Drosophila melanogaster: one gene and its partners. Changing the gene in region 1 together with any one later gene gives a genetic interaction. Each region holds a gene or a part of one and is shown on either strand. Other genes may lie near its edges.

Evidence for each region.
Region 2: of Axn (region 1) and sgg, changing one suppresses a phenotype caused by changing the other (phenotypic suppression), as found in Drosophila melanogaster (2 studies listed by BioGRID).
Region 3: of Axn (region 1) and tsh, changing one suppresses a phenotype caused by changing the other (phenotypic suppression), as found in Drosophila melanogaster (one study listed by BioGRID).
Region 4: of Axn (region 1) and dsh, changing one suppresses a phenotype caused by changing the other (phenotypic suppression), as found in Drosophila melanogaster (2 studies listed by BioGRID).

Annotation. Positions count from the first base shown.
Region 1 is NT_033777.3:30,020,671-30,026,341, reverse strand, and holds the start of Axn (axin), read right to left. Parts: upstream 3,501-5,671; 5' UTR 2,502-3,500; intron 1,916-2,501; 5' UTR 1,720-1,915; intron 877-1,719; 5' UTR 803-876; intron 125-802; exon of another isoform or gene 1-124. Other genes in the region: RpS28a (ribosomal protein S28a), read left to right, coding at 3,744-3,938.
Region 2 is NC_004354.4:2,644,734-2,650,046, reverse strand, and holds the start of sgg (shaggy), read right to left. Parts: upstream 3,411-5,313; 5' UTR 3,176-3,410; intron 312-3,175; exon of another isoform or gene 308-311; intron 1-307.
Region 3 is NT_033779.5:21,826,557-21,831,839, reverse strand, and holds the start of tsh (teashirt), read right to left. Parts: upstream 3,248-5,283; 5' UTR 2,035-3,247; coding exon 1,982-2,034; intron 1-1,981. UniProt on the Drosophila melanogaster protein: Homeotic protein that acts downstream of Arm in the Wg cascade during embryogenesis to determine segment identity throughout the entire trunk.
Region 4 is NC_004354.4:11,353,725-11,359,743, reverse strand, and holds dsh (dishevelled), read right to left. Parts: upstream 3,864-6,019; 5' UTR 3,391-3,863; coding exon 1,519-3,390; 3' UTR 1,020-1,518; downstream 1-1,019. Other genes in the region: Pa1 (PTIP associated 1), read right to left, coding at 1-140, 207-415; CG1737 (uncharacterized protein), read right to left, coding at 5,209-6,019.

The DNA of each region.
Region 1 (5,671 bases):
CAGCGGAGTTGGGTTCGCATTGTAGTCCTTCCTGAAAGCCGAGGGGTGGGGCAAGGGTTGAGATGGAAGACCCACCTCCGGAGTCCGATTCCTCCCCTAAACACAAATGTGGAAATTATTTTCGAATAAGTTTGAAAACAATACGAAGGGAGGAGCGACCGGCGGCAGCCTCGTTTGTTTCTAATGAGGTTAAGACCGCCATTGCTCAACCAACCGCCCGATGAACGGCGTCTGATGGCGGTCTAGACTCCACGCCGGCATGGTCTGGCCCGGCAAACTGGGGGAAACACGGGCACTACTCACTGCGGCTGCGAGTATTGCCGAAGGTCAATAGTGGCACTTTGTGCGCGGCAAAAGTTGCCAGCACAGGCGGAAAAGTTCAGCGCGGAAGCGCCTACTTTTCAGGTGCAACGCCCATTACAAGGACACCGAAGGACCCGAAGGATGCACTTGGGCGCGGTCAACTGTTGCTCCTCTCCGAGACAACGGAAACTTATTCAATTCCTTAATCAGAGTGCTGCAGCCCAATAAACAATAGTGAAATCATGGTATCCTTATTGCACTAAGAGGATTTTTCAATTGAGTGAAAAGGTAGTTTCCGAATAATAACCAATTAAAAAGGATTTATTAAAACCCTTCAGGATGTCATGATTATTAGGTTTCGAGAAATGGAAAAGGACCTAAGTATATCAATGTAAATCAGTTTTTCATACTAGTTTATATTTCTGAGATTCTCGCATGCAATCGTAGTTGTCTTAAACTTCAAAACCATTGACAAAGTAAAAATAAGTTGTATACTCACATATGTAATTTGCATAAAAAATTCAACATGAAATCAGGGGAAGATATTGGTATTCCGAATGGTTCCAGTTGTTCCTGAAAGAATAGTGAAATGAAGAAAAGATTAGATCAATTGAAATCATTTTGAAATAAGCTAAGACAATATATAATACTAAAATATTTGTTCGAAAGACTAAGGTTGTAAACATATAGTTAAGAGTTTGGAAAAAAAAAAGATTAGAGCCATTGTTATCCATTTGGTATAAATTTATGTTATATGTTAAAGTTAAAGTTTTATCTGAAGACTAATGTTTCTAGCCTTACCAAGCATTATGGGATAGTTAAAAAAATTATGAACACTTTTACTCTGTTTTAAATATACATATATATAAATAAATGTATATAAAATATGTATATATAATAGGCAAGCTTTATACATAAGGATATTATCAATTATCAATTGGGAGAAAAGAGATTTGGCCATTGGGTATATTTTTGTTCGCCAAGAAAGTAAGTCCAAAACAATGAAAATAATTTTAAGAAAAATCTTTAGTCTCGTGCATCTCATAAATAATCATTCAAACCAAAACATAATACAAATACCATAAATAAATTAAACAAAAAAACTTTTTTATATGCCAGTCATAAATATTGCATCAAAGATAAAATTGGAAGGTATTTTAATAGAGATAAAATTGTATAAATATTATTTTTGGCTCAGCTTAAATAAATTTACATTTCAGAGCCCAAATCGAATTAGTTTTCAACACAGCGAACTTTAAATCAATCAGTAGCAACCACCCAAGTGCCTCCTTTTTTTCAATAAGCCATACATATTGGATTTGTGGGGGAGAAAATATTTCGCGCACGGGTGCATCCAATAAACGCCTAAATAAATCTAAAGAATGCTTTGAATATAAAGGGTGATAGAACACTAACCGATTAAACTCAAGTGAGAAATGGCCAACGCTTGAGAACATATCAATCCATAGCGCTGCAAGTCCTTTAAGATGGTTGAATCTTTTTATGTCCGGTTTGTAGAAATGTTTAACTACACGCTTCACTTAATTACTCTTATTCGCATAAATTCCTATTTACGTAGCTTATATTACAGTTGATGCAGTACATTCAGTACCTGAAAGAAGAGGATGTGTAAATTGTTAAATAGGTAACATTGTATATTATGGATATGAATGCAGGATGATAATATAATTATGTTTTACTGTTTTGTTAATTAATTGATTTGTTAATGAAGTTAAAAGATATATACAGTTTCTATGGGATCCCATTGGCACATACACCTCAGAAATAAATTAAATGTGCTGCAAACTAATTAATTGAGCAATATTTTAGTTGGATGATTAGAATTTGCATGGCGTTCTAAATGACTTTTTCAATGATCAGGTATCATCCTTCGATTTAATGAAATATACATTTCATAAAGTTACTATTATTGCAAAATATATGCTCACATTTCTTACAAAGGATCATTCAAATTACTATTAATATTTGAGATATTAGTTAGACGTGAATAAATTGTCTAATTCCAATCATTTCCCTTGATACAACTAGATCATTAATCAGACTTATGTTGTGCCTTTCTTAAAGTATTAATATTAGTCCTTAAGTAAGTTGTGCAAATCCAATAATCCACAAACTGCGTAAGAAAGTAATAGCATTAGTTATGGATTGTGCATGGGAATTCCAAGAGCAGTACTCACCCTTAGATTCGTGTATCCTCGGCTTCACTCAATTGGGATGGCAGACGACTGATCCTGGCGCAGTCCTGACGGCCCTGGCTCCAATCTTCGATGGCGGTGACGATGGCAATGGCGATGACGAGGTGGGTTTGGACGGGTGTAATTTGATTGTAGCTTTAACGGCTGGACGCTTCGATTTCAATTGCAACTTAGCTTTCAATTTCGATTTCAATTTCAACTTCAATTTCGATATCGACGAGGATGCTTTCATTTTGATTAGTGTGCTCAACGAGAGGGACGCGTGACTAACAATTAATGGAAGGACGATTTGTGGAGTTCAACAAACAAGCAAACGTAAACAAGAGAGTGTGGTTAACAAGGCGCTGGCACGATGACCGGACTAAATGCTAAACAAGGCTGCAGATCCTCTCCTCGCGCACGGATCCCGATCCTCTCCTCTGCTCTCCTCAACTCAAGTGGGCTGGCCCGAGGGCATATCCTATCCTATCCTATCCCGGTGTCTGAGCTGCCTGCTGTAAACAATGGCTGTATGTCTCTTAACTTAATGCTTCGCCAGGAGCAGTCATCCTCGTCCGCTGGCAACTTTGGGCTCTCCGCGGGGAGAAAATCGTGCTGAAGCGCCGCCCTCTAGAGCATTTCGGCGTCTCCGGGCTCCTGCACTGTGAGAAATCTGTGCTCGGTGGCCTTTCCACTCAGTTCTGCACCATTTGTGCACTTTTCCGTCTGCTGCTTCTTTATTTTGTGTATTTTGTTGCTGTTGCCTCCGCTGGTTGTGGGTGCTGCTGCTGTTGCCGTTCGATTTTCATGGACGTATCGCTGCGGGCCGCTGTGCGCCGAGTCTCCGGAACGCGCACACTCTTTTAGGGCTCCGTGGCGCCGCTTATTCAGTGGTAAATAATAGATTTATTGAATGGCAAAACAAAATGTAGTTCGACACAAATGTTAGACGGCGAGACGAACGATTACATGCTAGAGTTGCGTGGTTCGAAATCGAACTGGTTCGATAGCTCGCCTCGGGGATGCCAACTGGATTGCCAACACTGCGAAAGGTGGCAGCTCGACTTGGGGTCACCTTGTGGTTCGCGTCCGCACTTATGTTGCGCTACAAGGCCTACAGGTGGCGCCAGGGATGATAGAAGGGTAGATAGGTTTTCTATTTTCATCGACTGGAAAGGCAGCAGCACTCACAGCTTCAAATTCAAATCTTTTATTGTCGAACAATTCTCGAATTTCGTATTCAGCATGGACAAGCCTCAGTACGCTCGCGTGGTCGAGATCCTTGGACGCACTGGATCCCAAGGGCAGTGCACCCAGGTGCGGGTGGAGTTCCTCGGCGACCAAAGCCGCCAGATTATTCGGAATGTCAAAGGACCTGTTCGCGTGGGCGACATCCTGTCGCTGCTGGAAACTGAACGCGAGGCCAGGAGACTGCGCTGATGTATGAATTACACCTGTTTGATTTCCCAAATCAAGTTAATAAACGATTTTGTTTGTTCAATTTTTAAATCCCAAACTATCGATTTCCTATCGCTAAGCTATCGATTCTTGCCATCGCAGCCCTAACAGCTGTTTGTGTTGATTCCGATTCCGCGAGACACTCGGATACAGATACTCACGCTCAGATACTCAGTTACTCAGCTACTCAGATACTCGTTCGCAGCGGACGGCCGAGCTGAGATACTCGATCGCGAGCTTGTTGTTGCCCCAGCCAGGCGAAAGTGAAAACGGAACGCCCAGATGAACGCCGAATAAATCAAGCGAAGTAGCAACAAATGCGGGAAATGTGAAAATGCGCGCGGCAGTGGGTTGAAGCGAGACGGGTAGAGCTAGAGAGATGCCCGTTTGCCCGCTGTGCGTGTGTGTGTGTGCAGCGGCGGCCGTAGCAGCTGCTGGTATGTGTGTGTACCGCAAGTGCAGGAGCCTGCATTGCAAAAACAAAAGCGAGTGCGAAAAGAACAGCAAACAGGATTAAAAGTGACGGATTCGATTCCCCGGGGAATCCTACCAATTAGTGCAAATTCCGAAATGCACGGAAAAGCGAACGAAAGCTGCGAATTCGTTACACTGCTGCACTTGGACTTTTCGGGGCGCTCTGAAAAATCGATTGACCGCAAGGAAAGTGGCGACCGCGAAATAATGCAGGCATTGGGCTCCTTCGAGGCAGCTGCACTGCGCGAAAAGTCCAGCAAAGGTGAGTGCGGACAGCTAGGGCAATTAAAGCAACAAAAGGCCAAAGATTGTCGTTAAATTCGATCCATAAAAAGTGGGCGAAAAAACAATGCAAAGCGTACGGCGCATTTGCCTGAGTTTTCGTGTTTGTTTGTTTTGGTTTTTTGCCTTCGCTTTCGGCACGTCAATTTTCGCCACTTATTTCGTAACAACTAAACCGAAAATACCTGTTCGTTCCACGCCCCCTGCCACCGCCCACCTCCCACCGCCCCCCGACACACCCAAAAAAAAAGTGCTTGCATTTGCGAATAGAGGTGGTTCCTACACCGGAAGAAATTACTGCCTGCGATTTAATGTTATTATTCTAATTAAAAAGCCTATGCATTATGAATATTTCATTCATAAATAAATCAAAGTCAATGAACTTTTATCTGTTGCTGCAAGCGCTCATTTATTCATAGAAACTAGCTTAAATGGTGAATATTTCATTCGGTTTTCCAACTTCAAAATCACTTTCTAAGTGGTATTCGAAACTCCGCACAGTGTACTGCTATTCCTAGACCTTTCATTGCCTGAATTTCAAAGTCGCGTTCAGTCGTCAGTCAATTGGCCCACTTACAATTTATTAATAAAGGGACCGGGTCATTAATGTTCATTGATTTTCCGCACTTAAGTGCGTCAGATTGACGTTACCAGGAAACATGGTAATTAGTGGCCCCTGGCACAAAGGGGCGTGATTAGCTATTCCGCCGGAGTGAGAGTCCTGAGATCGGGAACTCCACTCTTCCACTGGCTTGGATTCGCAGTCAGTATAGTATCACATCTCATTCGTAATAGCACATTCCAGGGAACTTCGCATGTGACTTGGTTCTGGAATGTCCACTTGTGAATCGAAACTGCTTTCAACTGGCGGCAACGTGACTCCAAAGCAAACTAGTTAGGTTTCGCGGAAAAGCTGTAAAAACTACATACATATTATTTGCAGTGCCTCATTTTCAAAT
Region 2 (5,313 bases), on another chromosome or scaffold:
GATTTTAGTGCCAGCATGATGGGGGGCACATTCTCCAATAGATTTGTATGCTCCCAACACAATCCCAGCAATCCAATCAACAGACAACACACATTTAATAGAATTGTGTGCAATAAAAAATAAGTTAATTAATTGAGCGAAAAAGCAATTTTCGAACGGAATAAAACGGAATGGAACAGCGCGTGCTGTGAAAACTGTTGTCGAAGTTTTATAACCCAAGTTGTCGGTCGCATCAAGTGGCTTCTTGGACAGCTTGCTTGTGTCCAACCCACATTGTTTACTGCCATATCGTTAACTTTATTTTTACCCGTCTTCCTTTCCCTTGCCTCATATTACCGATTCGAATACGTACCATCCCGTCCTGCCCTGTCATTATTATCGTAAGAATTACTTTATTGCAAATTGAAGTGAAAAACGTTAATTGATCGATAACAAGAATGCGACAACGTCAGCAGATTCTTGGTGCCCATGTGTGCTTCTTTATTGACAAATTGTTGTATCAAAACAATTGATTGATAAACAATTAATTCGCCTTAGGAATTATTATATTTTATGACCGGAAGTGCATTATGAAACGCACTCTATTCACATTTGCAATTTGTCATTAAGGTTGCACCGGTTTACGACGCCATGGGCCAGATTCCGCATGTTATTATGTATATTTTGTTCGTATTTGCAGTGGCGACAACATTTCTGGATACCAAAAATGCCAAAGCCGCGATTCACTTCCAAAAATGGGCGTGAGAAATCGACGGGGGGCCAGCCATATAATTCCGACTTTTAGTCGTTTCAAGCGCGTCATCGTAAACGTCATTATGCCATACATACAAAAACAACAAGCAAACAATGTAAATCGAGACGTGCAAATATTTATAAGAGGATCAAATCGACAAGCAACGCGTGGCTTCCAGTGAAACAAAGTCAACTGCCTGCAAGTGGGAGGCATATTGGAGGGAAATGAAAGATAAGAGGCGGTGACAGCCGCATTAAACCCGACTTTTTTTTGTAAGGATTTGGCAGTACTAAGAACTAAGCATATGATCTTGCATAAATTGGATGGGAAGAACAAGTGTGAAAGTACATAGTATGTATACACAAAGTGCGAAACAATACTATGTTTATTGATTTTGGCGGCACGTCATGCAGTTTTGGCCCCCGAAAAAAGTCTGACGAAAGCAAAGCTCCACAATTGAGAAGCTTTTTAATGTGAAAAGCTCCGAGTTAATTCTTCTTTGATTATTCATTCGTCCGCCTTGAACCATTGACACATTTAGGGCGTGGGTGGGTGGTGGATAAGGAGACGAAAGAGCGCCGGAAGAGAGCGTGAGAAAGTCGGGTTTAAGAGAGAAAAGTGATCCCCGCACTAAAGATACAAATTGCTGTCTTTGAAAATATAAAAGTGGCGGAGAGCGAGAGGGAAGACGGAGGCAATAGGCGAATCAACAAACAAAAAACGCCAAGCGAAACAAACGAAGAAAATTAGCAAATGCTACAATACACGTGTGTGCGTGGTGTGTGTGTGTGTGTGCAAATATTTCTTCGTCTGTGCTATTTTTATAAAAAGAAAAAATGTTAAAGACAAGAAAAGAAAATAAAAAAAAACCGAAGCGAATGAGTGGGCAAGAGCAACAACAACTAACACACCAAGTAACTTCGACTCCGACTTTTTGCCTTTGGGGGGCACTCAAAGAAGAAGAAGAACGAGTGGAAGGAGAAGCATGTGGGGCAGCGGAGGAGCGGAGGAGCAGCCGGCGCAGTTCATGCGAATTTTTTTTGGGAATTTTCCACTGGCAGAGCGACAGCAGCAACAACATGAATAATTCACTTTTGGCCCAAGCCACCACAAACACCAGCGGTCACACTAATAGGCACTGTCATCCATGCTGAAAAAACTTAGGACTTTGGCTCCACTGCGCTGGGAGATCAATGAGGGGGATTCCCTGTTCACCGATTAACGTTACGAGAAAAAATTGCATTTTCAGCATCTTACTTGGAAAACCAATTAGAATCTGCCCAATAACGGTGATGGCACTAAGTTCCACATGGCTTTAATCAAAAGGCAATCAAAGTTTTAAAGCTATTGGTTTGATCTCTGGTGTTTTCCTTCAAACAGGCGCACACATTTCAACATTGTCGCCAATAAGGAATTGCATGCACGTACCGCAGCCCCCTCCGCCCCCCTCCCTTCACAAATGCTGTGACCACTCATTGAAGAACTTTTGCCCATAAAAGCAAATACTGATCGGCGGAACGGTAGATGGAATGGTAGATGGAGGAGTTTGGGGGGAGGGCTGAAGGGGCAACCTCCGCACCAATTATCGCGGAGACGCAGCAGCCGCAGAATTACACAGAGAACAATTTAAGTGTCGTGATAAATAAACAAACATTAATCACCACATCATTTAAACTTTTTTAGAAATCGTGCCTTAGATTTGTGTTGCGTATTCTCCATTAATTCCTGTTTACAAAATGTGCTTATAAAATATACAAACGAAATGGTACCAACAAGCTATGGACTAATTTGCGTTATTGACTGCGTTATTTTTTCAGTGTAAGCTGAAGCAGCAACAACAACGCTACAGTAAAACTGGTTTGAAGACGACGCCGCCGCTTCGGTTTGCCACTTGTTGTGCGCCTTGCGGCGGAAAGAGAGCGGCGATTGAGGGGGCCAGAGCAAGTGAGCGAGACAGGGGGATTGCAAAAACTTTTCCATTGATGAATTTTAAGTTTCTTCTTCTTGGATTTGGTAGTGAAGATGCACTGAAATCGTGGATACGTATACATCGCAACATATTCACAAACAACTATTGCGAGGAAGGGGCAAACAACGAGCGTTAGATTCCCACACAAATCGAGGTACTTTAAAGAGCTTTCTAGAACATTCGCCCCACTAAAAAAATACACATCTCCCCCAAGTATAAATAAAAATAAAAAAAAACATTAATACATTGGCAATGAGTGTGTGTGGGTTTTTGGGTTAAAGTTGGAGCATATTTCACAACGCCGTGAAATAAACTCCAATTCATTGGTCACTTTAGGCCATGTTGATAGCTCTTTTCGTGATTTTCTAATGGTGTCAGGCGGCAAAAACAACAATGCGGCAACTAATTAGATTTCAATGCATATTGAATTCGACTAGTTTCTAATTTTTATTTTTCTTTTGGAGACACATTACACTGCACACACTGTTGACACAAAAAATAAAGTAATCAGGCGCGTCACGATTTTGTTTCACTTTTTGTTTCGCCGTTGTTATTTATATTTATATTTGTTTCGTTTCGTTTTTTTTTTTTTTTGTCGCTGATAAAGCTACAAAAACAACAGGCAAATAGAGTCGCGGAATGGCTGAATGGAACGCGCCGGAACGAGAGGAGAGAACGACGCGCCTGCTCGATGGATTCAACGCGAGTGAGCGAGTCGAAGCATGGGCATCTACATCACATTCACATCAGCCGACAGCGTCGCCGGCAGCGCAGCAGCGCCTGCGCCGGCGTCCCGCAGCACAGCAGCGCTCGCAACGGAAGGACCACCTAACTAATCAATATTTCTACAACTTTAAATAAATGTCAACACCAGTTTATAAATACAGGCACCTTTCTAGGTAAGTTTGTCTCTACTAAGGCATGACACATCATTTTTGGTCTCTTCCAAGGAACATTTGATATAACTTTGATTTCTAACTGACTGACCGCAGCTGTACCGGAGCATTGAACGTTGCACGGTGGGCCGAAAGCTTTGCTTCGCTTCTCAAATGGAAATGGAATTAAATGAAAGAAGTATTTATGTTGTTTCTCACCCGAAAGAGAGCATCGCTGGCAGCTTGCTCCACACATTTGCCCCAATGTGCGCTAAAATTGATCGTCACATGGACGGCGAACGGCGAGGGAGGAAGCGGGGGAGCGTGTGCGGCGTGTGGGGAGCGAGCGAGCACACAGAGCAAAGGGGCGGGAAAGAGAGCGCTCGCGAAAGAATTTCTAGTCAGCGGACAGCTAATTTGCATGCGGTGCGTGAGTGTGCTAGCTGCATGTGCGAGTGTGCGAGTGTGTGCGTATTTGTTAGTACGCTGCGCCGGAATTTCTCATGTGTCGGCGACGCGACTTATGCAAAAATTAGGTAACCGAGAAAGAGATAAAGAAAGAGGCCGAAATGAGAGCGCGCGTGCCGATGAGTCAACAAAACAAAACAAAAACAGAAGAGTTAAAGAGTGGAAAATTCAGTGGGTGGGGAATGTGGGAGGTGGGGATGTGGGTGGCGAGGTCTTTTAACCACCGCTAATTGCGAAAGCATCGAAAAATGCAGCCGGTTCATTACGAGCGCCGCCCGAAAGTATGCAAGTCCCAAGGCCACAGCCATAAATGTTCGCCACAATCGAAATCTTAAACCCTGTATTGGTACATATTTCCACAAATTTCATTTGTAAACAAAATAACATAAACTCATGTAACTTAACCCATTTGGGCAACACTAGCTACAAATTCTGCGAAATTAGGCTAGCTTTACATATACGTAGCTTTTACTTATAAACTAATTAAACACTTAAAAACAATTACAATCTATAAGTTTGCTTTTAGCAGTTATCACCATATATATATATATATAGACTTCAATGTGGGAGAACAGACTTTTGCTTACCCGTTTATAGGAAGTTTGGTAATATGATAGTCAACTTACCTGGAAAGAAAATGAAGAAGAAAATTCAAAATTAGTTACGAGAACTTAATAATAATTAGCAATAACTTCAGCTGAACAAAGCGACCGGACACTAACTATTCACCGACTGGACAAACTGGCGCTCCAGATGTTTGTCCGGCGGGGGCTTGGAGGGGCCGCTCTCGATGGCCGTGCTCTTGACTTTCACATCGCGAGTGGGTCCTTGTTTAGCTGCCTTCTTGTTGGCCGATATGGTTACTGATTCTAGTGACTTGTGGTCAAGTCAAAATAGCAACGATGGTTTTGCGAAAGTAGCGCTTTGTTTAATGATAATAAGGCTAAAAGGTGATGGCCGTCCGTCCTTGAAGTTAATTTATTGGAATATTTGACGAAAGATTTTGAACACAATTTTGGCATTTAAAGCAGAACAGAATTTTGACAATAAATTGAGACAACCACCTTACGAGAATAGCTAAGCTAAAGTATTGCACGCACATGAATGAGGTCTGTGCCCTTGCTAGACTGAGTTTATTATTTTGGTTGATCGCAAGGAATTTCGTAGCCGAATTTACAGATAAATTTAATTTGCCTTTCTTCAATTATAAACAACATTGATAAATTATGGATGGCGGATTTGGAGCAGCGCCAAGTGCACGCAATATA
Region 3 (5,283 bases), on another chromosome or scaffold:
TAACCGGCATTAAGTTGTTTGATTCGGAGGAGTTTTGTCACTGGGCCCTATCAGAAAGTCAGTGTTTAATTGATGGATTGTTTACTAACAAATCCGGCCTAGCGCAATATTGATGATATCTTAAGGAACGTCGGAACAAAATCTGATTCATGTGCAGCTTATTTTGAACTCAGTCACCTGCCAGGTGACAGTTTATCAAAGATAGTTATTACACACACCGCGCAATCACTCACCGCTAATTAGCTATCCAGATTGCAAGGGGCGATTGAGCCCGCAAACAACCCATTTAGCGGCTCGTTTCTCCATTATTTTGCTTGACTAGTATAAAATACTTGGCAACGAGTTTTCTCCGCCAGCATATCATAATCTGAAATCTCGTTATTCGATTAGGCTTAAATCAAAATGATTTATACGCAACTCCAGCAAGTGCAGTTAATTACAAGTTGAAATGTCTCATTAATAATCGAGAGAGTTGCATATTGATATGCACCCGTAACGCTCAGGCTAACTAAAATAGTGGGAGTACACCCATTGGTGTGATATGGGAGAGTTGGTTGGACCTCAGGTGAGAATATAAATAAATATGAGTTGACCGATCTGAATTTTTTTATAGTAGAATTATTGTTTAAAATGTTTATTCCCTAGTATATTTTTACTATATACTGCGAAATGAAGGTTATTAATAACAGTATATCTATTTGTGCCGAATACAACACACTGTCCCTGTTAAAGCAAATCTAAGGCACGACAAATCCGTTAAGGTAGCAGAGTAAATATTACTAAACATACACATGCACCCGGAGATACAGCCACACGCACACGCACACGCCAGCGGCAAATTGTGAACATAAATCTCTCCGGTAATAGGCGCACACGGGGAAATTGGAGGGGGTGGAGAATGGAAAAGATGGCAAGCAGAGCGTAGCGTATTTTGAGTTTTTCACTTTTTCGCATGATTTATTCAATTCGACTACGTCATCGCCTTGGAAAATCTTGAAAATTCGTGTGTATCTGCATGCAAATCAAACGAGAGCGAGACAATTTGTCGCACTTTATTATTAATACTCCAGATGCACCCCCGAATACCCTCGCCCCCGCAAATATAGTGTCATAAAACCCGTTTTTAGCCTTCAGTTAATTTGCTCAGACTCAGGCTCACTCGAGTGACTGTTCGAGAGCGAGTTCGAAAAATATCTTGAACTTGTTTAATCATAATTTCAGAGAAACCCAGATACAGATACACAAACGCTTACCCCAAGTTAGTATCCCATCATCGAACTATGGCGATTTTTCTGTTATTTTCGGATTTCCCCTGCCAGCCACCCTTTTCAAATCAAGTTCTGCTTTTCCCGATCCGAGGGTCTGGACTCGTAGTCGTGAACTCAGTACTCTTGGTTCTGCGGGTGGGTGTTGTGATATATGGGCGCGCTATTGGCGAGGCGCTGAATTTATAACGACAGGTGTGCGACTACGCCGAACCGCCAATGCCAATCATCAAATGCCATGAAATCATAGTTTCTTGATATATTTATTTGGCCGATTTGTGGTTGAGAGTCTGCAATACTATTTCAACAAGTTCGGCTATCAGTTCACAATGACAATGGTTTTTGATTTTGATTGAAAACGTTCTATATTCAATATATGTCGTATATACTTGGTATATATAATATTCTATTTAACCAGATACTTGAACGCACATAAAAAGCAATTGCAAAAAAATAATATTAACTGAATGAGATGAATGTAATTATTTTATATGTGAATATTTTGAGTATGGCCACTTTTAGTTAAGAATTCAATATTTCACTATTTCATAATGAAAAACACTTTGATGCACTTTGGTAGTAAAATCTCAGTTCGTTTATCCTTCATACCCAGAGTAGTCACATTTTTGAATCCCCCGAATAAGGCCATGTGAATCTTTTTCTTAATTCTACATCTTTCACTGTTCTATGGAAATAATCTTCCATATAACACTTACCCGGCATTTAGCGCCTGTCTGTAGATCTCGAGCATCAGAGCCTCGTGTAACATTTTTAAATTTTGCTGAATTTTGACGGTTTGCTGGAACTTGGATGGTTTGCTCTTTTTGGAGCAAACAACGAGGATTTTAGTTGGATTTTGGAACTTAACTTTAGTTTGACACAATGATCATATAATCTATTGTTTTGCACTTGGTACGTTGTAGTATAACTTGTTGTTGTTGCAGCGTATAACTGATTAATTTATATTTTTTGGATTTTGTAATTTATAAACTTTCGTATGTCAGACAAAAAATGACGTTTCGAGGCGTTTGTATTTTTAATTCCTAATTTGTGTTGATTTAAATTTAATTTATTAATTGCATTGAATCGTATACTTCGTTAAGGTTTGTTGATTTAAGTAACTGGCTTTACATTATGTATGTAGTGTAATTTTGGTGAATTAAATACCGTTTAATGTAAATATTTGCAATAGTTTATCTTTAGTTTTGGTAATAAATATATTTTTGTGGTATATTTTGTTTAGCTTGTGGTAGTTTTACGTATACTTTGTTGAACCATTTGTAGTTGTATGTTTCTCGTATGTTTCAGTCTTGATCGAGCATTTGCGTTCGAGAGTATCAAACCTCTGCTTCTTTGACTAGATATGATGGCGGCCTGGAAAACACTCGTTCTATCCTCCCCCAAAAACGCGTTTTAAACTGAGAATTCACTGTTCTGGCGGAACCGCGGGTCGCGATGCGTGCGTCTTCTCATCCGGATTCGTCGTCACTACTCGAACGAAAGTCCAAAGGCGATTGAATCCCGCTGGCCGGGTTCCTTCGTCACTAGCCTCTGCTGCGGTGCTCTGCCGGTGCGCTGCTGCTGCGCTGCCGTCGCTGTCAAGCTGACAAACAACAACAACGGGGCGCTGCTGCTCTGCCTTCACTGATTGATACGGATGAAAAAATGAAGCGACGCGACGGACGCGCAGCGATTGGAAGCTGCGCTGCTGTTGACGAGCAAACACGAAGCCCGCGTTTTGGCGACGGCAATTTCTGATTCGATTTTGCGTTCTGGCGACGGCTGCGCACTTGTGTGTGTGTTGTGTGTGCCGTGTGTGCCACCCACACCCTTGCAGGACAAGCTGGCTGTCAGCGTGATTAAATGTGCTACTCTCTCGCTCGCACTCGCCGGCACTCGGCTAACTAATTACCGTACGATTTTTCCAAGTGCGCCGAGCTTTTTCGCACGATCGTACGCAGTAACGGTTTCTTGTCGACTGACTGACTCTTGGCGAAAAGAACCCGAAACCGATGGGTAGCCAAAAGAGAGCGCGAGAGAGAAGAGAGAGAGAGAGCGACAAGAGCGCAGACTTTCCCCTGTGCTGGCAAGTGAACGCTTGGAACTGAAACAGGGGAAATCGCTAGGGAAAGAGATAGCGTTGTGGGACCGCTCCGTCTCGCTTGCTCCGAAAGTGTGTGAAATCTGTTTTGTCGTTTCGTCACCCTTCTTTTGTCCTATTCCGAATCCGATTCCATCACAATTAAGATTTATGACAGTTTAACAAAAATGCTCTCACTCGCATGCGCCGTCCTGCTCGCAGCCACTCAAACTGTGTCGGTCCCTGCTCTGTTTTTATTTCTTTTCAAAATAAACAGTAGTTGTTGCTCTCTGAGCTTTTCGCCCTCGTCACTTTTAGCCTCTTCCCTCTCGCTCACCTTCCTTCATACCCTCTGCTGTCAACTTTTGTTCGCCTTTCTGCAGCTTCTTCGTGGATCTCGCTTCTTTTGTTTCGTTGCATTGCTGTGCGAGCGAGTAGGAGAGTGAAAAAGTGGAAAAGTGGTTTGGGGCAATTTTCACTTGAAATCAACCCATTCCACTTTTCTTTTTGGCTGCGAAAACAATTGAATTAGCGACACTCCGGCCGTTCTTTCCTCTGAAAATGTGCCAAAATGCCGCGATTTTATTAGTTTTCATGGCAAGGTGTCAATGTTTGTGAATGCGTGAATGTAAGGCTGTGTAAGAACATTGATGTACATATGAAAGTATAAAGCCGAATGAAGTACAAATTTGGTTTAATAAGTGCCTTTATACAGTCTAAAAGATGACAGCATTGAATACTATTTAAATACTAGTATCATTAATACTCAAGATCACGTCTAATAAGTGCATCTACAATATTTTTCTTTGTGCCGACCCTGGTTACCTTAAGTTTATATATTGCATGTACTTTTTCACATAAATTGACAAACGTATAAAATAGTAACTTTCGATACATTATAATACATTACATTATAAAACATTATATACATTATTCTATAAAATTATCAACCGGTAACCGAGCATTGCCTTGATTCCTATGCATATTTACGGAGACGACTACTGAATCAAAATTTAGTTGCGAGGAGTCCACGAAAGGTGCCCCTACTTAGCCCAAGGCATTTTAAGCCAAGGTTAAACTTCGCTAAAACCCACCTAAACTGGCCAGTCTCCAAATGGCGTAATATCCCCTGGACTGATGTGTTAAAAATAGTGCTATTTGGTGGAACTGGTTCATATGGTTATATCTGACGACCTCCAAACACCGAGTACCACCCAAAACACCCACTGAAGACTTTCAATCACGGTGGACCTGCAATACTGGTATGGGCTTGTTTATTTTTTACAATGGTATGAGTCCATAACATATGATTTATGGTATTATAGACCAAAACGCATGTGTAAATATACTAAGGGATGTCTTACTGTCATATTCTTATTATAATATGCCCTTAAAATGGAAATTCCAACAGAATAATGATCCGAATGGCAGAAGCAAATCGGTTAAGAAAAGGTTCACCCAAAATAGAATAGATGCAATGCCGTGGCAAGCACCATCTTCCGATTTAATCCCGATTGAAAACCTGTGGGGGGACATTATACAATATGTGACGAATAATTCCCCGACGTCTAAGGCTCAGATTTGGCAAGTTGTGCAGGATGCATTGGCAAAAATTCCCCCCAAACGTTGCCAGGACCTGGTGGACTCCAAGCCGCGTAGGTGGTGGCTAACAGAGGCTATCCAACACATTAATAAGAAAAACTGTTAGTTTTAAGTCAAATTGAATTTTGTTAATATTTTTTTATTGCACTGCTCTTTCAGTGAACACCAGAATATCTGCCTATTATGTTGTTTTGATCTATATTTTAGAAAACTATTAAAGAAATAAGTGTGAAATTTTTGTTGAATTGTTGGAAATTAAATACCTAATGATATTATAAAAAAAAGCCCATCAAAACTGTAAATCATAGGATTTTTCTATATTAAACTCGCAGGTGC
Region 4 (6,019 bases), on another chromosome or scaffold:
TCTTCTTCAGCGTCTCCATGACGCCGGCGAAGTTGGCCGTCTTCTTTTTGGCCGACTTGGGCGTGGACGTCTGGCTGCGGACGCGCATCTGGGTGGGGGCCACATCGTCGCTGAAATCAAAGTCGTTGGCCTTCTGCGGTCTGCGGGGACACGAAAATCAATCATAAGTTATGTTAACCTTCGGATGGTGCTGCACTTGTTCTTACTCCTGCTCAATGGCGTCGGTGGCCTGTTCGAGTTCCTTGCTATTGCCGCCAGATCCCGCCTCCGGCGATGGAGCCCTGCGTCCCGGAAATTGCCATTGCAGTTCCGGAATATTTCCCGCCTCCAGCATCAGATAGTAGCCCTCTAGCTCCTCCGCGTTGGCGGAGAACTTGTCCGCCGTATTCGCCGCCGGCTCCACATCCGTTGCCATCGTTTTCTCGGATTTAAACAATCCAAATGAACTGGAAATTTGCGTTTCTTTCCACAATAGAACCTATTGGTTTCGCGACCTTTCTGGAATGAAAGCGATAGTTTGCTTTGGCGTGCTTATCGAACAGTTATCGAACGTTCGTTGCTATCGATTTTCGGGCTTAGTGTTGCAAAGTGTCCGAGCTGGGCGGTTGATTTGAACACATTTGCTGCTCGAAATGGATTTTCTATTTATAGGTTTCATTATTCTCTTCTTTATTAAGTGCACACCCATGCCCGGAATGTTTCCGCTCCGAGTGCACACAACTTCGAGGATTGTTCTCGATGGCGCATTGTTTGGTTTAGGGGGAAGAACAATATTATCTTGTTGAGACTTTTACTTTTTAGGATGGAAAGTATGTGTTTAAATATTGTTAATCTGTACAAAGAAATAAGAACTAACAAAAATTAGACTTCCTTTTTAATGTATATTCCTCAAATTACGAACAAACGCTAATATGTTTTAGGAATATTTTAAAAGTCTTCTTGGCAATTTGATTTGCACTTGAAAACAGCTAAAATGCGTTAAAGAAACCAATCTCATGCATATGGAAAAGCCATCGATTATTCATTTTATTTGTATTTATTTACTTTGTGATTACTAAATTCTTAGAACTTTATTCAAAATCATTCTCGCCCGTCATGCTGCCGTTCCTGCTCCTCCGCTCCGCTCCGCATCATCCATATATATATATATATATATATATATATATATATCATATATCATATATCTCAGTTGATCTGATCTGATCGGGTCCACAACCGATTGCTGCCGGACACGGATATCCCTGTGCTGATCCTCCTGCTGCCTCACGAGCCCTCGCTGATCCTTGACTCGTTGCGGCTGGGTGTTTAGCGTTCTTTTCTATGACTTACACATACCATACATATACATAAGTATTATTATTATTATTATAATTATTATTATTATTATTATTATAATTATAATTATTATATTGTGGTTTGCTGTTTGCTTGCTTTGTATACTCGTATATAAAAAAGAATAATCGTACATATTTAATTTAATTAATTAAAAACACAATTTGATTGCAAAAAGAAAGGTTTCTACAATACGTAATTAAATACGGATACGTCCTGATCGTTGGTATTGTTGCCGCCACCGCCACCGCCTCCGCCGCCGCCCCGATTGGAGGAGCCGGATGATTTGTTAGAGCCATGAGCGGCGATGGTCAGCTGGTTGGCCTGATGGATCACCGAGGTGATGTCGCTCTGCGACGCCGAGATATCCTTGCTGGTCAGCACATCGCTGCTACTCGATCCCGACGAGATGTGTCGCTCGGCGATGCCGTACTGGATCGGCTGATAGCCGTGACTTGGATTGTACGTGGCCGAATATGGCATATAAATGGGCGGGTTCGGTAGCGGCCCGATGTCGCTGGTGATGCTCTCGGTGTCCGCATGGCTAAGCGCATGGCCGCCATGCCCGTGCGGCAGCTGGTGCGGATGCAGATGTCCTCGGCCCAACAGATTGGGATTGCGCTCCTCGTTCACCACGTAGTAGCACTGCTCCGAGAAGGTCAACTTATTGACCGTATGCTTGATGTAATTGCTGCGCAGCATCGCCGAGACGATCCTTCGCGCCTCCCGCCTATCCTGAACATCCTCCACATTCTCCAGCACCCAATTGACCGCATCGGCGCCGATAAATGCATTGGGAATCGTTATCTTTAGCCACATGCGATCCCTGATCTCCAGGCCGCTGTCCGGCTTCGTCATCGCCTTAACGATCTCCTCGAGGTTATTCTGGTCCAGACGCTCCTTAATCGGCTCCGCAATGTCGGCAATAATACTGTCGTGCGATGTGAGGGCCTGAGTGTGCGCCACCCAAGCACCGGGATCGATGGGTCGCACCGGCTCCGTGCGCGGAATGGTGAAGTAGCCCTTGGGATTTGGGTCCCAGCACTTGGCCACCACCAGCTTGATGGGTCCCGGCTTCTGAACGACTTCTCTCAGCACACGTACCGCCTCGTCGTTGGTCATGTTCTCGAAGTTGACATCGTTCACTTGGAGGATCATGTCGCCCGGTTCGATGCGTCCATCGAGTGCCACTGCGCCGCCTTTCATGATGCTGCCCACGTAGATGCCGCCGTCGCCGCCGCGATTCGATTGCCCGACAATGGATATGCCCAGAAAGTTGACCGCCTCCATGTTGATGGAGACGGTAATGATATTTAGGGACATGGTCGAGTCGGTTATGGAGCTGTACGAGGAGGTGCGCGACATGCTGGGCGCCCGTTTTTTGCGCCTCTGCGGCTTCTTGCGCACCTGCAATCGCTGAACGCTGCTATAGTCGGTCATGTCGCGGTCCAGCGTCAATTCGGATTCGGTGCCAAAGAGACTGGTCGAGTCCAGATCGCTGGAGAGCACGGATGCCGATTGATATGTGAGCGGTGGCGGCTGCAGCAGCGGATTGCCCATCATCTTCTGGTGATGGAGCACCTGCTGCTGTTGCTGCTGCGCCAGCTGGACAGGCTGCACCTGCTGCTGCTGTTGTTGTTGCTGTTGCTGGTGCTGCTGCTGCTGTTGTTGTTGCTGCTGCTGATGCTGCTGCTGTTGCTGCTGTAGCTTCCTGTTGGTCAGACCCATGCCCAATTCACACTCACTGGTTGGCAGCTCGGAGCAGTTATCTGACTGATTGGTACCATCGGCGGAGACCAGCCAGGACACCACTCGCCCATTGAAGCAGGGCAGTATGGTGGAGTCGTCGGCTATTTCCTCTTTGACCACACCGAAATCGGCGTCCATTGACTTGAAGAAGTACTTGTAGTTGTTGTTCTGCTTGTTCAGCACCAGCTTGAAATCGCGCAGCGTCACCTGGGCGGATGGAATGGGGATCTTCACCAGATACGGCGTCGTCTCATCGTCGATGTGGTATATCACCTTCGTCTCCTGCCCGCCGCCCCTGTCCGCGTCCATTTTAGCTGCGCCGACTGCGGAAATCCACGGGAAAACTCCTCGACGCGATAAAACGCGATCAAAACGAAATGCGATGGATGCGGTGGGGAGGTGGCGTGGGAAGTTGGTGGGGAAAAATCACAGGGAAAACGGGATTAAGCCAGGGAAAAGCCGATACAACAAACAAAATTCACTCGATTTTGCTTTTCTCCCCCTGGTCGCTCTAGCCCTCTCGCTCTCGCACGCGTTTCTTTTACTTTTTCTTTCTCTTTTTTTTGGGCTGGGTATTTCGATTCAATGGAAGCGGCGGCTGTTAATTCGTCGATTTGCACGGCGTTGATATTGCTCCATTAGCACGATTTGGTGCGCTTTAATGTCGGTGCACGCAGCGGGGGCAGGGCGAAACGAGCATATTGCTAGTTTATCAATAAATTTGTTAGAATTTTGAGACTAAAAAAAAACAGTGTGTTAGCCGCTCGTCACGCACGGAATGCCAAAGCGCCGGGCAGTTGGTCACACTGCCGGCGATGCCAGACCCTTTCGAATTCGAACATTCTTAACATTTTCTCAAACGAATATTCTGAAAAAGCGTATGGAAAACTACTAAAAACTGCAATGTATTTAGTTTCTATTGGAAATGCTCTCTCTAACGATATTTGCTTTACAATTTGAATGTAGTTCAAACACTTTTAAAATTAAATACCAAAGTTATCGATAAATATCGTTTAATTTGAATACTTATTCAAAACAATAAATTTATTATAATTTAACAAAATAGCAATTTCTATTACATAAAACATGTAGAATCTAAAACTACAGCTATATTGAACTCTTAATTGTATTAATTTACCATATAATGATGTAGCATAGTTGAAGAGTGTCCTGTTTAAAAGTAGAGTCTTTATCCTTGTCATGGAAACTTGACCAAGGAAACTCATCCATCCATCCACTTGAAGCCTGCGTTCCTTATCTTCTTTCGCTTTTCACACGAAAATCTCTAGCGTTGGCCGCAGTTTATTTATAGCTGCCCGATTTCCAGATAACCCCGCCCGCCATTTATCACGCAATGGCGCTCGTTATTTAAATCAGTTTTCTCTTTTATTTGTATGCTTTGAATTGGGATCACTTAGATATACACTCGACTAACTTACTGGCTAGTCCTCCACGCGGGCGTAGGCACATGTACGCCCGGTTTTATATTATTGAATCGACTACGATAATAGCAATTTAAAAAAAAAGGATTTCGAAGGGGGCGGGACTCGCGGGGAAGGCGGAGGGGGGCTATGTATTCCAACGCATTTAAAATAAAAATCATTATTGATATACCTCGACCGCCCGGAACTTCGCAATCCCTTCGAGAGTTGGGCGAGCATTTTACAATTAATTGTTTTCTTTAGTTTAGTTTATATTACATAGATACATCTGCCGTTTGTATTTATGTATGTCCGTCCGCTGTTTATAATATACGAGATATATATATATAAAAATTTATATAAATATATATATATATATATTCATATATATAAATATATAATTATATATACGTGTATATATATTAATATATATTTATATACATACATATATATATATACATATAAATATATATAAATTTACGCTACACTAGCTATTACAACTAAGTTAATGGTTTTACAAAAAAAAACTTGTATCTGTTTTATTACAACTACAGCATAAAACGAATTATCGAGTGTCCGCTTTGTTTGTTTGTGTATGTGTATGGGGGAGGGGGATGGGGATGGGGAGGGGAGTGCTGTGTGTGAATTATTTTTTACAATGTGATACGTGCTCTTCCTGTGGCCACCATGGACCAGGCCTCCACGCTCACTTAGCGTTGACCAGCTCGACAATGTTGCTGCTGATCGAGAGGCGATCGACGATATCCAGCAGGATCTCCACATCCTTGATGGTGGCAACCGTCTCGGGGGCACCCAACAGATTCACATGCTTGCCATCGATGTTCGCATAGAAGCATTTGTTCTTGAAGATGACGGCCCGATCGTAGGGCACGCGGCACGTGTTCTTGTCAACGACAACGCGCCGGAAGAGCACGCACGACGGCTGATACTTGTGACGGTCCTCCTCGGGTATGTTGTACGCCTTGAGATCGCCCGTAAAGATGGTCATTGTCTGGCGGGGCATCATCGACGGCGAGACCTTGTACAGCGTCACCTTGCTGGTCCATTTGCCCGATGGCACCTTTATCCGTGACGCCACATTGGCCAGCTTGACCAGCGCCAGCTCCAGGCAGGTGCGCTGCTGGCGCGCCATCTTCGACAACATATCCTTGGCCGTGCTAACCACATGCCACGTCTCATAGCAGGTGATCTTCTTTACCACACGACCATCCTCCTCGTGAAACGTTGTGGTCTCGGGCGGAAAATATTTGGGACTGTTGGCATCGTCGATGCCACCGCCGGTGGGCAATATTTCGCGCAGCGTTGTCAGCTCCTTGTCGCGCTGCTGCTCCTGCTGGTTCTCCTTGCTGCGACGCTGCGGAACCAGGCTCGGCTTCTTGAACACCGGCTGGACATCGTTATCGGCCAGCAGATTGCTCAGCCTCCGGTCCGCAATCAGCGCATTCACCGACGACGCTGTCGTGGACAGCACATTGCGCCGATTGTTGTTCAACTTG